Rattus norvegicus: one gene and its partners. The protein of the gene in region 1 purifies or fractionates together with the protein of each later gene. This does not show direct contact. Links are inferred from orthologs where the notes say so. Each region holds a gene or a part of one and is shown on either strand. Other genes may lie near its edges.

Evidence for each region. Proteins that work in one complex are often made in the same cells at the same time.
Region 2: the proteins of Cops4 (region 1) and Cul4b purify together in Homo sapiens (affinity purification with mass spectrometry; 9 studies listed by BioGRID and IntAct, with this or other methods). This does not show direct contact. The link is inferred for Rattus norvegicus from reciprocal best matches to the Homo sapiens genes COPS4 and CUL4B.
Region 3: the proteins of Cops4 (region 1) and Dcaf1 purify together in Homo sapiens (affinity purification with mass spectrometry; 4 studies listed by BioGRID, with this or other methods). This does not show direct contact. The link is inferred for Rattus norvegicus from reciprocal best matches to the Homo sapiens genes COPS4 and DCAF1.

What each region holds. Positions count from the first base shown.
Region 1 is NC_086032.1:9,381,262-9,386,201, forward strand, and holds the end of Cops4 (COP9 signalosome complex subunit 4), read right to left. Parts: intron 2,084-4,940; coding exon 1,950-2,083; 3' UTR 1,636-1,949; downstream 1-1,635. UniProt on the Homo sapiens protein: Component of the COP9 signalosome complex (CSN), a complex involved in various cellular and developmental processes.
Region 2 is NC_086039.1:122,171,211-122,176,294, forward strand, and holds part of Cul4b (cullin-4B), read right to left. Parts: intron 1,944-5,084; coding exon 1,840-1,943; intron 1,178-1,839; coding exon 1,108-1,177; intron 483-1,107; coding exon 409-482; intron 1-408.
Region 3 is NC_086026.1:116,358,538-116,363,621, forward strand, and holds part of Dcaf1 (DDB1- and CUL4-associated factor 1), read left to right. Parts: intron 1-2,014; coding exon of another isoform or gene 2,015-2,022; coding exon 2,023-2,132; intron 2,133-3,786; coding exon 3,787-3,863; intron 3,864-5,084. UniProt on the Homo sapiens protein: Acts both as a substrate recognition component of E3 ubiquitin-protein ligase complexes and as an atypical serine/threonine-protein kinase, playing key roles in various processes such as cell cycle, telomerase regulation and histone modification.

The DNA.
Region 1 (4,940 bases):
CGGGAATGGCTGCAGCTCCTTCCTAGTTTGTTGTCCCTTCTTTGGGTCTGCCTTGCACTGTCACAATTCAACGGATCCCTGGCGGGATGGTGATACTTGGGAAGCACTCTACAAATTATAACGTTTCCTTGTTTTTAAGTATGTATGGCGCATACGTGAATGGGGGGTGGCACATGTGGAAGTCAGAAGACAAGCTTTAACTTTTTCCAAGTTCTTTATCTTTTGTTTTATGTGGATGTGTGTTTTGCCTGCATGCATGTCTAGGCCTCACTTGCATGCCTGGTTCCTCAAAGGCCAGAAGAGGGGGAACAGATCCCCTGAAACTGGGACAATGAATGGTTATGAACCACCAGGTAGGTGCTTGGAATTGAACCCAAGCCCTCTGGAGGAACAGCCAGTGCTCTAACCGCTGAGCCACCTCTCCAGCCCTGGAGGACAAGGTTTTGAGTTGCTCCTTCGCTTCCACCCTGTTTTGCAGCAGGGTCTCCCTTGGGTTTGCCGCACTGCACACTCTAGGCTAGCCGGTTTGAGATTCAGCCCAGTTCCCCTTGTCTTCCCACGCATCTCATCGCAGTGGTGTGTGGGCTACAAACTCACACCATCATCTTTCCTGTGGGTTTTAGGGGTGAACTCAGGCCAGCAGGCTTGCAGGGCAACAGCTTTTACCAGCTGAGCCATCTTGCCGGCCCCGGGTGCCTGCTTATTCAGCCTGAATCCCTGGGCTTGGAACTTCAGAAGTGTCTGCTGCTCCTAGGCTTACAGAGAACTGATTTAAAGAAGGCTAGAATTGTACACCCGTTCTCTAAATCAACAAAGGCCAGGCACAGTAATTTCCCTTGAAAGTCAAGACTGTCTTATGGAAAATAATGTGGGTATTATTTCAAAATGAGCTACGTGTATTTCCAAAAGAAGGGTGTGCTTTGTTGCAGGATATCTGATCAGTGTGACCCCTGAGACTGTGTTGTTTACTGAAAAAACCTGTTTCTAGTGGTGTGGCTCAGCCCTTAGCACCTTTCATCATCCCTCTGACTGGAACACAGACACCCTATTAGTACACACACCTTTAATCCCAAACAAAGTTAGTTTGTAGAAGGAAGCACCCATGTTTCCAAGTATAAGTTGAGTGGCAGACAAAATGCTGAATTAAGGAAACATTGATAGACTAGGATGCGCCCAACCTTCCTGGTCTGCAGGAGGGCCAGTTCTGTTGGAGTTGCTAAGCAGGTACCGGTTCCAGAAGCATCACCTCTCCCTAGCTGATGAACTACAACCCCGCATCCTTCCCCCTGGTCCGGGCTGACTTTCAAGCTGCCTAATGTTTTAAGTGGGTGGTCAAGCTCTTTAACTGTTGGGGCTAAAGTCGTTTATACCCTTCTCAAAGTCCTTTCTGCATATTCTCTACTAATCACATTTGAAATTACCATCCTGAAGTCTTCCTTGTTGGCTCCCTGATGACTGATGGGCTCCTCCTGGTGTGTAACTCAGGCGTTCACCTTACACCTTTACCTTTGTGCCTCAGAGAGCTTGGAGGCAGGCACTGGGACTTACTCTTGTATTTGCAGCATGAGATACAGAAATTAGCTTTTCTAAATTCAAAGGAAAGGAACAAAGACACTAGAGGAAGCAGGACCTTCGTCTGGTTCATCGCTCCGTTTATTAGAGTAACCACATCTGGAGAGGCACAAAGCACTGAAGTTTTACACGACTACCCAGCTCGCTCGCTTGCTCACTTAAAGAACAAGCTTTCAAGACACCCGAGTCAGCTCAACATAGACCCAGGCGGCACGGGAGCTACTGCTTCAAGGCTGCACTGCTTGCTCCTGCGTCGTCCTCACGTGGGAGCTGGCAAAAAAGGACTGAGATGTCTATGGTCACGATGCAAATGCTGTGAGGGCAGTGAATCGATCCGCACAAAGTGCAAAGACGCAGTGTGCACGGAGCTCCAGGACTCACTGGGCCATCTGCGCCTCCATGGCTTGCGCTGTCCACTCGGGGGCTGTCTGACTAATCTTCTCCAGGAGGTTATTTACTTGGAAACAAAGTGATTGGATCTGCTTGTCCCACGTCGGCAGGGCTTCTCGTGCTAAGGAGAGAATAAAATAATAGGAAAAACAGAAATTACTTACAAATCAAAGCTAAAAGATAAATTACAACAGTATTAATTTAAGACATTTATTCTGGAACTCTTGGCTAAAAATGTAAACTAAGCCATCATTAAGAACCAGACCAGGGGGGCTGGGGATTTAGCTCAGTGATAGAGCGCTTACCTAGGAAGCGCAAGGCCCTGGGTTCGGTCCCCAGCTCTGAAAAAAAGAACCAAAAAAAAAAAAAGAACCAGACCAGGACGAGCATGGCGGCACACATTTTTCATCTCTGCACTAAAAAGAAGGAGTGGGCAGGATCTCTGAGTCTGTGGTGAGTTCCCGGCCATCTAGGAGAGCTAACAGCAAACATGAAGACTGAGTGTGACAAAAGCGTTGCTGTTATCAATGCCCCTGGAAACAGAGTCAGCCCTGAAGACCTAGGAAGACCAGATGACCGCAAAGCAGCCTCACTCAAGGGCCCGGTCCTCAGTGTTTGCTGGGGCGACACTGCCATCTACTGGGACAGCACTGGATTTCCACAAGAGAACGTGTCTACCTCACCAAATAATTAACATTTACAACAGAAGAAGAAAACGTGAGATCTCTGTGAACACTGTCTTGACTCTACTTTTTTTTTGAGGCAAGCTTTCTCTGTATAGCCCTGGCCACCTGTGACTTGCTGTGTAGACCAGGTAGCCTCAAACTCTGCTGCCCATGCCTCCCGAGGGCTGGGATTAAAGGTGTGCGCCTGCCCAGCTGCATGTATTTTAAAGACTCAAAAAAAAAGAGCGTTTTATTTCATGTGTGTGACTGTTTTGTGTGTGTTTAAGTATGTATGTATGGTACGTACCATGACCTTGCCTGGTGTTCACAGAGGCCAGAAAAGGGGGTGACCTAGAACTGGAGTGACGGATGGTTCTAACTCCACTGCAGGACTCCTGAGCCATTCAGTTTCCTCCCTTTAATTTAACTTGTTTTTCCTCCCTCTGCCCTGTTTTCATTTTTTAAAGACCACAATGACCCTGGCTAGAATGGAGAAACTAGATTAGAAAGCAAGTGTACATGAGAGAAAACATCACAGGCTGTGACGGCAGCATTCTAAGTAAGTCACAGGGAACACAAGAAGAACAGGGGCAGCAAGCCGGCCAGAGGATAAGCATGGGCCATGTGAGCATCTGAATTCCACCCACAGTAGGACTCACGGTACAAGGAGGACTGACCGACCACTGGAAACTGTTCTCTGACCCCACACAGCTTCCACAGTCATACACATATAAACACTTGAATTTTTAAAAATAAGGAAAGCACATGGATCCCTAAGAGTATCAGGAGTTGTAATTTATAGGACATGGAAGATGAAAAAGTTAAGAAATTTTTTTAAAAAGTGAGATGTAGCTTTTAAATGGTTAACTAGCAGATTTTGGACCTGTGTCTGTCCTAAAGCCTTATTAAGCAATCTGGTATAGACACCTTAGCGTGAACAAGAGCTAGAGATTGAGAGCGAGAGATTGGTACAAGAAATCCGGCCATTTCCACAGAGTGCTAACTGAATCAAGGATACAGATCGCCCATGGAGACTCAATGCCCACAGCAGGAAAGGCCAGGGACTCAGCCGTGAGTAAGTCCTGTTAAATCTAAGGGCCTCACAGACTCCATACAGATGACGTGAAAGACAGCTGGGCAAGCAAGAAAGAAGGCAGGAGCAGGCCAGGGAGCTCAGCTGACAGCATCACGATGGCCACGATGTGGTGCTGTGTGCACAAGGATAAGTGATCAGCAATATTCCCTTTATTAAAACCAAGAGAAGGAGCTAGAGAGATGGCTCAGTGGTTAAGAGCACTGACTCCTCTTCCAGAGGACCTGAGTTCAATTCCCAGCAACCACATGGTGGCTCACAACCATCTGTAATGGGATCTGAGGCCCTCTTCTGGTGTGTGGGGACAGCGCCAGTGTACTCATATATATAAAATAAATAAATCTTAAGAAAAAAAAGAAAAGAGAGATGAAACCTGAAGCAGGCTTGCCAGCACACCCCTGTGATCTCTGCACTCAGGGGGCAGAGATGGGAGGAGCGCCACAAACCAGGGGCCAGCCTGGGCACTGGGCGGCAGGAAGTCTACTTAAGAAGAAAATAAAAGGCCTGAAAGATAAAGACATCTATGTGGTCTAATGGAAAGAAGTCAGCAGGATTTTAAAAGTTAAACAAAGTGCTGACTCGGGGCTTTAGCACAGGTCCTTTTGGCGGGTGAAGAGCAGGACTAGGGACGGGACCCTAGGGACAGGCGAAAGGGCAGACAGACCACAGACGCTGCCCTACACCTCACACCTCACATTTAGGGCTTCATAAATCCGATCAAGACAGTTTAAAAAAATCTTTGAAATGAGAAATGGTTTTCTCTCTAGAAAACAAAACTCCCTGCAATCTGAAGGCAATCCGCCATGTCGGAAAGAGAATGGGAGAGAAATGAAGCAGCAGCCGGTGTGAGGAGGACTGTAACCTGCAGCTCCTCCAGCACACAGACAGCCTGAGCGGAAGCGGAAGGTGAGGAGGGTCTCTGTGCAGCAGGAATGGAAGGCCACAGGGTGCTGTGTGTCCCACCGCAGACTGAGGGAAGCTGAGAGGGGGCCATCTTCACGGCAACTGTGTATCCAGCACCAAAGGTGAGCCCCGAACACAATGACAGGAAACCTCACACAGGCCGAGGGGGGGGATAGAGGGATACACATGTGTGCACACGCACAGCCCAACAGTCAATGACAAAGGAGGCCCTGAACTTGTTCTAGGGAATCAGCGAGAACAGAACTGAGCAACTCAGCAGGAGAGGAGAGAGGACTGCGCCGACTGGAGGTAGAGTG
Region 2 (5,084 bases), on another chromosome or scaffold:
AAATGGCTTCAAAATCGTAAAATCAGTACATTTCAATCATTACTGTAGGTATATGCTAAGCATCTGCTGAAGGATCAAGACATTATGCTATCTTATTTTCATAAACAACACTTTTTAGTATAAAGTCACAAGAAAAATAAAAGAGCAAAACATTAATGATCAGCAGCAATAATATTCAGGCACAGAAATTCTAGATTAAACTTTAATCTTCACACCTAACATTAAGAAATACTATGAGAGAAAGTTAGCTGTCTGCTGTATTAGCATAGACAAAACAAAAACCCTCAAAATGCTAGAATCCAAACGTGAATTTTTAGGAGAATATTCTGAGTACAGCTTGTTCTCTTAGAATAATTAAGACTATGATATATAACAAAATTTTTCATAATAATCTTCTGGCATCCTTACCAAATAGAGGGCAGCATTGAATTCTGAAGAACATAAGTTCTATCCAGAAACAAAAAAATGCTCCTGATCATTATCTGTCAAATAAAAAGAAAAAAAAAATCAAGCAATTTTTGTAAATTTGAAACTACAATATTAGCTCTTAATGAGAATTTGGAAAATTTTATATTAAATAGGCTAATAGGATCCAACTTGCAAACAAATATATCTAGCTGAGAATATGTCCCATATATTTATTTTTAAACTAATCTATTAATCCTTCTTGTGGTTTCTAGAGAACACAGAATTAAGATGGTCCTCTGAGATCTTTGCTACTTAAATAACTAAAAAGAAAAACTGGAGGTAGGCATGGGACATATGCCTATAATCCCAGCAACTCAAGAGCCTAAGACAGAAAGATCTTGAAATTTCGGGCCAGTCTGTACTACACAATGAGATCTTGTCTCAGAAAAAAAAAAGAGGGAATCTAAGGTACACTTAGTCTTTCTTAGCAGCAGTGCTAGGGGGTAAAACTCTCTTAAACTTGTACCCATGGTGTTTAGGAGGTGGGAAGTGGGTTTCAAGATTTCTATTTGCATTAATATAAAGAATAAACACCAGACTTTCCCACCAGCTGTATCCCAATACGTCCAACAAGATATCCAAACATTCTAGCACCTAAATGTTTTTGCAATGAAATAATCAGTCTTGTTTCCAACTCACCATTTGCCTACAATGATTTTGCCAGCATCTATCAATCTTTTTTAGAAAAAGAACACTATCCAATGAATCCATGAGACAGATGTTAAGAATATTTTAAAATGTATCATATAAGTAATATGTGTAATATAAAACGTATTTGTCTTAAAATATAGACTACCCCATAAACTGATAATACAAATTATAAAACACAATTCTAATTTTTAAACTGCAGAAACAAATTTGATCCCCCTTAACGTATCTTTAAAACCAGTCTTAAACCTAACTGAGCATGTTTTTTATTTATGATTTCCCTCAAATAGAAATTTGTCAGGACAGAGGCTAATGACAGGAAATTTTTACTTAAAAACTGTAAGTATAGATCTTAACTATAATTGACACTGAAATGTTTTAAAACTTTGTTCTTTCCTTCAGAGATAAGAGGACAAAAATAAATCTTTCAGCACAGGCATTCCATTTCAAACTGAGCCAAGCAGTGAGAGGTAATGAGTAATGAAAAAACTTAAGATACTTTGTTTTGAGGGGCTCAAGAGATGGCTCAGCAGTTAAGAGTACTGGCTGTTCTTCCAGAGGTCCTTACATTTCTAACAACCACATGGCTGCTTCCATGTACAATAGAGTCTACTACCCTCTTCTCTCTGATGCCCTCTTCTGTCATACAGGCATACATGTTAAGTAGAACATACATAAAATACATACATAAATAAATGTGACATTTTGTTTTAAAAAGGATATTCTCTGAACTGATGAATCTGTGCTTTGATGTGATCTTCACAGATCTGCCTCAGCTGCTTATACAAATTGGCAGAAATCTTGTAAGAACAAAGATTTTCTACAGCCTGTAAGATAAAACAGGTAATTTTGTAGGACAGGAGAGAGTTGGGGTAGGGGTCTCAATTATCACATGAAGTCATGATTTTTTATACATTGTATCAGCTCATTGAAAATAAAGTATTTGTCAATTTTAAAAAGCAAAAGAATGGAATCAACCCAGAATGCCGAAGCGGGAGTATTAGGAGTTTTGTGCTAGCCTAGAAAACTTTACTTACACAGACACACTCAGGATTAAACAAGAAAATTGACCAATGTGGGTGAAAACCAAGATAAGTCCACATTTGTATGTTTATGAGGGCTATACTAAAAGTAAAGGCTGAAGAGAATCATGCAAAGTTTTGTACTACATACAAAAGCATTCTTGTTACAAATAATTTTCATAAGCAGAATGCATTAAATTTAAAAATAATTTTGCCTGTTTTGTATGTATGAGATGGGCCAGAAATGACTACTATAACTCAAGTAAAACTAATAGTTCCTTGGATATTCCTGAATACAATAAAGTGGAAATTATTGCTAGCAGTGTTTAAACCAGTGTGATATAATTAAACACTATGACATTTTCTCCAATTTTCAGTTTATAAATAATTGAAAATAGGGACTGCAAATTGGGCTTAGTGGTAGAATATTTGCCTAACCAGCTTGAATCCCCAGAATTCATACTCTTAACAACAGAATGAATATATTTTTACTTCATTAGAATACTTGAATTTATCCTCAAATCTTAACAAGTTCAGATTTTGTGTTTATTATGTGTATCAAAAGTCTTTCAAAGGGCTGGAGAGATGGCTCAGTGGTTAAGAGCACTCAGTGCTCTTCCAGAGGTCCTGAGTTCAATCCCCAGCCACCATATGGTGACTCAAAACCATCTGGAATGAGATCAGATGCCCTCTTCTGGTGTATCTGAAGACAGCTACAGTGTACTCATATATAATAAATAAATAAACCTTTTAACAAAAAAGTCAAGTTTAAAACAACAGGTGTGGTCACTCTAATGTTAACCACAATTGGTAATGGCTTAAGTGTAACACCAAGATTCCTCTCATGCCACAATGGAAGACAAAAACCCCATTCCATTAAAAAGGACTGGGGAAGTCCAAACTCTGTTGGTCTGAGTGGAATTTTGTAAACAGTGTAGCTAGAAGTCACATTGCTAGAATGCAAGTTCAGTGATCCCATTTTTTTTTAAAAATAAAGCTTAAAAAGGAACTTCCTTATTCCACTGGAGGAAAACCATCAATCCTCAACAGGAGAGAATAGACCCATCAGCTTTAACAGCTATGAACAAATAGGAAAAAGACAGATTCAGTTACAATCCATGTAACCTGGGGTTAGGAAACAAATATCTAAGAGTGAACTTGTTTATTTCATGTGCTCCTCTATTCATACTGATCCTAGATGGGGTGTCCTCCTCCCTTTATGGCACTTTTTACTGTATCTTGTTTTTTGAATGGCTGACTCATTTTCTCAAGCATTTCTCATTTCCTACTTACGTTGTCAATGACATAATACACACTTCATTTTTTACTTTCCCTATTTTTTATTCTTCAATACATTCTATTTATCCTACTTCCTTCTGAGTTCTCCTTTATCTCATAAAACAGTTCTTGACACATCTATTATCTTTTCCCACAAGATACACATTTTCTATTTCTATTAAACTGGGTACCACTTCTTCCAAATAAGGTAACTCCTTTCACTGTCACAGATTTGCCTAATGCTCCCACCACCCACCACACCTCAGTAAATCAATACTCTTGCTTTTTATATGTATATCCTGTCTCCTTGATTTTGCTTAATGGCAGTGATCACACAGTCCTAAGCTATTTTTTAACACTTTGACTTTTACAGTATATGTATGTCAATAATGAATTATACCCTGCATACTAGAATGAAAACCATGATCAGAATACTATAGTGTAAGCTAAGTATGTTTATAGTCAAAGATAAAGCTCCCTATTACAGCCTTTAGGAGAAGGAAGTTAGGAAAAGTATCCAAGTCTACCAAAGACCCAGAGAGAAATATATAGAATACTAATGAGAATAATAAAAAACCAAAAACAAAGCTGAGCTTTACATTCAAAGTGACTAATGATTCATTCAACGAAAAGGAAATATGCAACAGAATAAGTTGGGTAAGTCAGGTGTGGTGGTCATGCCTGTAGTCCTACATTGAAATAAGAATTAAATAAAGTTCTATGTCAGCCTGAGTATCTAAAAAAAAATCAAATTTCAAAAATCAAAACAGGGCTGGAGAGATGTACTTCTTGTTCTTGCAGAGGACCCAGGTTCCATTTGAAGCACTCAGAAGACAGTTAACTACTATCTGTAATTGCAGTTCCAAGGGAATCTAATGCCTGCTTCTGGAGTCTAAGAACGTTGTACACATGTAGTATACAGATAAACATGCAGACAAATACCCAAATAAATTATTTTATAAATATAATTATACATTATATAAATATAAATTTAATATAATTTATATAAATTATAATTAAAACAAAGCTTAAAACAACAAAAACACAAACAGGTGACAACAGTTAAATTTTGAGACACTAATAGCTGGGTATCAAAACTGCTAAGAATTTTAACTGTTCTGATATAACCAGACTGCTTAAGTAATTGCATTTTACAATTGATCATCTATGTACTGAGAGAGATGCACAGCCTCACTCTAAAAGATTTCAAGGTTCTTAAGAAGGGAAAATTTAAAACTGAGGAATAATTGTCATTTAAAGTACTGTTTTAAAAAGATGATAGGATAGGCACATGTTAATCCCAGTACTTGGAAGGCAGAGGCAGGTAGAGCTCAGTGACGCCATTCTGGTCAACATGAGTTCGAGGACAACTAGATATATAAAATGAGACCCTATCTCAGAAATAAAATAAAACTAAACTTAAAAAATGAAAAGACAGCTGAGTGTTTTGGTACATACATACCTTTAATACCAGCACTGGGAAGGCAAAAACAGACAAATGTCTGTGAATTTGAGGACAACCTACTCTAATTAATTATAATAGTGAATTCCAGGACAGCCAGGGCTATATACAGGAACCCTGTCTCAAAAAAAATCAAATTAATAAATAAAAACCATATGTGCTTACTGAAAACACAATGGCAACAGTGTGTTCTTTTTTAGAAATTA
Region 3 (5,084 bases), on another chromosome or scaffold:
TCTATCTCTCCAGCCCCAAATTTTACTGTTTCAATGCCCCTGAGTTCACATTTATTACAGCAACTTTCTTGTTCTTTATAAACATTTTTTTGTTTAAATAGTGCAAAATGTTAACGCAGCAGATATAGTGGTACACTTGTTATCCCAGTCCTCAGGAGGCTAAAGCTGAACAGCCATGAGTTCAACTCCAAGTCGCATAGTAACACCCCATCTCAAAACCAGACCAAACCAGACCAAACCAATCCCATGGATACATGGTCCTCGTGTGACAGGCTCTAAAGGCCCAGGACTCGGGAAGCTAAACTAGGAATATTGAAGGTTCAAGGTCTACCTGGGGGACAGATCTCCTGTCTCAAAACAAAAATTTCCCACAAAAACAAAAGAAAAGAAAAGGAAAGGAAACAAAACAAAACAAAACCCAACAAACTGAAATATCAACAACCCTAAACAAACACTGGGGATGTAACTCAGTATTTGAGTGATTGCTTACCATGTTTGACTCTAGAATTCCTAGAATCAAAGATCAAAACAAATCAAGCATTAGGTCTTAACATGAGCAAGGTCCTGGGTTCAGTCCCTGTCATTGTCAAGTGCCAAGTGAAAGGAAGTAAGTGAAAGCAGCACAAACTAACTGTGTGTGTATTTGAGAAGGCTTAAGGGCATTCTTTCATAGTTTCCTCTTTTTTTTTTTAAAATCAAGAAATTTTCTCTGCATAGCCCTGTATCCCTGGCTATCCTTGAACTCTTCTTTGTAGACTACATTGGCCTTAGACTCAGAGATCCACCTGCCTCTGTCTCCTAAGTGCCAGAACTAAAGGCATGCATCCCCCATACCTGGCTTGTTCTTTTTGAGACAGGATCTTTCTCTAATAGAGTCCTTTCTGGTTGTCCTGGAACTTACACAGATGCTCCTGCTTTTGCATCCCTTATGCTAGGATTAAAGGCATTGTGATAGCACATCTGGCCTTTTTTTTTTTTTTTTTTTTTCTTTTTTTCGGAGCTGGGGACCGAACCCAGGGCCTTGCGCTTGCTAGGCAAGTGCTCTACCACTGAGCTAAATCCCCAACCCCCCCTTTTTTTTAAAAATAAAAACCTCCATTAAAAATATGGAAAAAATGGCTGGAGAGATGACAGTGATTAAGAGCACTGAATGCTTTTCCAGAGGTCGTGAGTTCCCAGCAACCACATAGTGGCTCATAACCATCCATAATATCCTCTTCTGGTGTGTCTGAAGTATATTTATATACATAAAATAAATAATACTTTAAAAATATGGAGAAAGTGAAAAGGGCAGGTTTACTACATGGTAGAGCAGCTGTCTAGTACTCGTGAAGCTCTGGGTTCAAGCCTCAGCACTGCATAACTTGCTGTGATGGTTACGTATCCCTAATCCTAACACTTGGGAGATAGAGATAGGAGGATAAGAAAAACAAGGTCATTCTTGGGTATAGAGTGAGTTCAAAAATATCCTGGGATACATACCCTATCTCAAAAAAAAAGTAAACCTAGACGGTGGCTTCATAGTGAGACCCAGGTTAGCTGGGGCTACAAGTGAACTAGTGAAAAGCCTGTCTCCCCGTTTCCTGAGATTATAAGTTTTCAACCCACTGGCATTTAGTAAATTCACAATGCATTGTAGGCTCACCTTTTTAGTTTCAAGCCTTTTGTTATTTAGACAGGGTTTTTCTGTGTAGCCCTGGCTGTCCTGAAAGTCTATAGACCAGGCTGGTTTTGAACTTAGATTCTCTTGCCTCTGAGTGCTGGGATTAAAGGTGTGCACCATGGCCACCTGACAGGTATTTTTTTTTTTTTTCCCACATTCTGACATCATTTCTATGTGTGGCCCTAGCTGGAGTAAAACTGATTATGTAGATCAGGCTAGCCTCAGACTCTTTAACAAGTGCCCAATCTCCCCAGACCAGCTTATCCATTACCTGCTCACCTTCACACTTTTTGTGGGAACTATGTCACTTACGTTTGTTTTGTTCATTTCTTATTGTTTTGACTTCTTTAGGCCAAGTCATGACTACAGTAGTGGTACATGTGGACTCCAAAGCTGAGCTCACTACCCTGCTGGAGCAGTGGGAAAAGGACCATGGCAGTGGGCAGGATATGGTACCTATCCTTACCAGGTAAGAATTATTTGTTTTTATTCACAGAAAACTTACCTGTCCTTTCATATACACAAAACTGTTTTAAAAAATGGAGTTAACATAATGGCTGAGCAGTTAAGAACACTTATTATTCATGTAGTTTGTTTCCTAGCATCTATGTTGGGCTGCTTTTAACTGCCTGTAACTCCAGCTCTCATACCCTCTTCTTACCTCTGTGGGTACCCTAATGCATGTGTGTGTACATACGTACACACACACACACACACACACACACACACACACACACACACACATACATAGAGACACCTTAAAAAAGGTTTTAGAAGAAAATATAAGAATATTTTGATAGACTTTGATTTATTTTTTCTCTTTGCTGTTTTGTTTTGTTTTGTTTTTGAAACAGGGTTTTTCTGTGTAGCCCTGACTGTCATGGAACTCAGTCTGTAGACCAGGCTGATAGAACTCAAAGATCTGCTCGTCTCTGCTTCTGGAGTGCTGGGATTAAAAGCATGTGCCACCACCTCTTGGTTGAATTTTTTTTTTTTTAATTTAGGCACGATGATGTGCACTTGTAGTCTCATTGTTGGGAAGGTAGAGACAGAACAATCTCTGAGGCTTGCTAGCTAGCCTGCCTCTCCTGTTTGGTGAGTTCCAGTCCAGTGAGAGACCTTGCCCCAAAGAAAAACCACATGGAGTGCATTCCTAAGGAATGAAACTTGAGATTGTTTTCTGGCCTCCACACATATGTACACATGTACACCTGTACATACACAAGAAAAAGAATGACTTCGTGAGTGAAAAGGAATTTGTTATTGGAACATGGATGCTTTCTTAGAAGGATCTTGGCATAGTAAGACTTTATATGATTCTCTTTAGGTGAAATCCTGGAACAGGCAAAACTAATCTTTTATAAAAGCAAAAGAATATTTACTTGTTGGAACCATGGTAGAAGCCTAGAGGGTGGGAGGAACATTATAAGCTAACAAATTAAGGCATGGAATGGCCCTGAAGCAGGAATGAACTGGAATATTTTGAATAGCAGAGAGGGCCATGTGTTTGAAGTTTAATAAAATATTAGAGATAGAAGAGTAAAAGAAGCTTTTACAAAATTGGTAGAAGCTAGATAATTGCAGGCTATCATAGTGCTTGGACTTAATTTAAGGAATGGAAGCTGGAGACCAAATTATGTTAGGTAAAGCAGAGAAGTAGGAAACAAGAGCTGAGAATTGGTTTTAGATAGTGGTGACTGGCAGGCATGTACTACCGTGCCTGTCTGGAAATGAAGGTTTTAATGATGACTTACTAGCTTAAGTTTCTGAGGTGAGGGTGCTTTGTAATGCAAGGAGACGGAGTGTAAATTATTTTATGAGGTGATTTAGACTTTATTATTCATCAGAAAAATCATGCTTTTCTAACTTTGTGTTATGCCCCTTTAATACTGATACACTTTTTTGTATTTTAATTTAGCTTTTTTTTTCTGACATGGTCTTACTGTATGGCTCTAACTGACCTGATAGTGTTTACTAAGTAGCCTAGGTTGGCCTTGAACTTAAGGCAGGCCTCCTGCCTCAGTCTTCTGAGTGTTGGGATTACAGGTATGTGTTACTATGCTTAGTATTTTTGTGTGTGCTTGTTCAGAGTTAACTTGTTAACTCTTTTCCTTTCTTGCTAGGATGTCTGAATTAATTGAAAAAGAAACCGAAGAATATCGTAAAGGAGATCCAGATCCGTTTGATGATCGACATCCTGGTAAGATGTATACTTTTACATCTGAGACTTTATTTTCTATTTCTTTTGGAAGAGGGTTGTGTTTTGTTGCTCAGACAGGTCTAAAACTCTTGATTCTCCATAGCCCCTGAGTAGCTGAGATACAAGTGTGGGCCACTGAGCCCATGTGTTCTTTCTTAGAAAGGAAAATTGTTGTGCCTTACAAATGACTTGGTGGGTAAAAGTGCCTGCCACCATCCTGATATCTTTAGTTCTAGGTTTGATCCCTGGAGCACACATAAAGGTAGAAGGAGAGAACCATTTCCCAAAATTGTCACCTGATTTCCACACATGTGCCTGAGCACTGTGGCATGTTCATATATACACTTTGTATATTATATGTCTCTAACACAAGTAATAATAAAAAGCAATTAAAAAGAAAATTGCTGGGCAGGAGAGATGGCTCAGTGGTTAAGAGCACTGACTGCTCTTCCAGAGGTCCTGAGTTCAATTCCCAGCAACCACATTGTGGCTCTCAACCATCTGTAATGGGACCCGATGCCCTCATCTGGTGTGTCTGAAGACAGCTACGTTGTACTCACATAAATAAATCTTATTTTAAAAAAAAAAAAGGAAAAAGAAAATTGCTCAATTAAGATAGCATCCCCAATATTTTAAGTTCTTAAATTTTGTTGGGCGGCTGGAGAGATGGCTCAGTGGTTAAGAGCACCAACTGCTCTTCCAGAGGTCCTGAGTTCAAATCCCAGCAACCATATGGTGGCTCACAACCATCTGTAATGGAATCCGATGCCCTCTTCTGGTGTGTCAGAAGACAGCTACAGTGTACTCATATACAAAATAAATAAATCTTTAAAAAAAAAAAAAAAAAAAAAAAAAGAGCACTGTCTGCTCTTCCAGAGGTTCTGAGTTCAATTCCCAGCAATCACATGGTGGCTCACAACCATCTATAATCGGGTCTGGTGCCCTCTTCTGCCCTGCAGGTGCATACATGCAGACAGAAAGCTGTGTGATGTATACATAATAAATAAATAAATGTTAAAAAAAATTTTTGCTGGGCATGATAGCACATGCCTTTAATTCCAGCAATCAGAAGGCTGAGGCTGTGGATCTCTGAGTTCAAGGAGTTCCAGGTTAGTTAGGAGGCTGGATTATGTGCTGACGCCCTCTTAAATAAAAAACAAAGCAACAACTTAAATTCCTTATGCTATTTCTGAAGTGTGGGACAAGGAAGAAAAATAAACA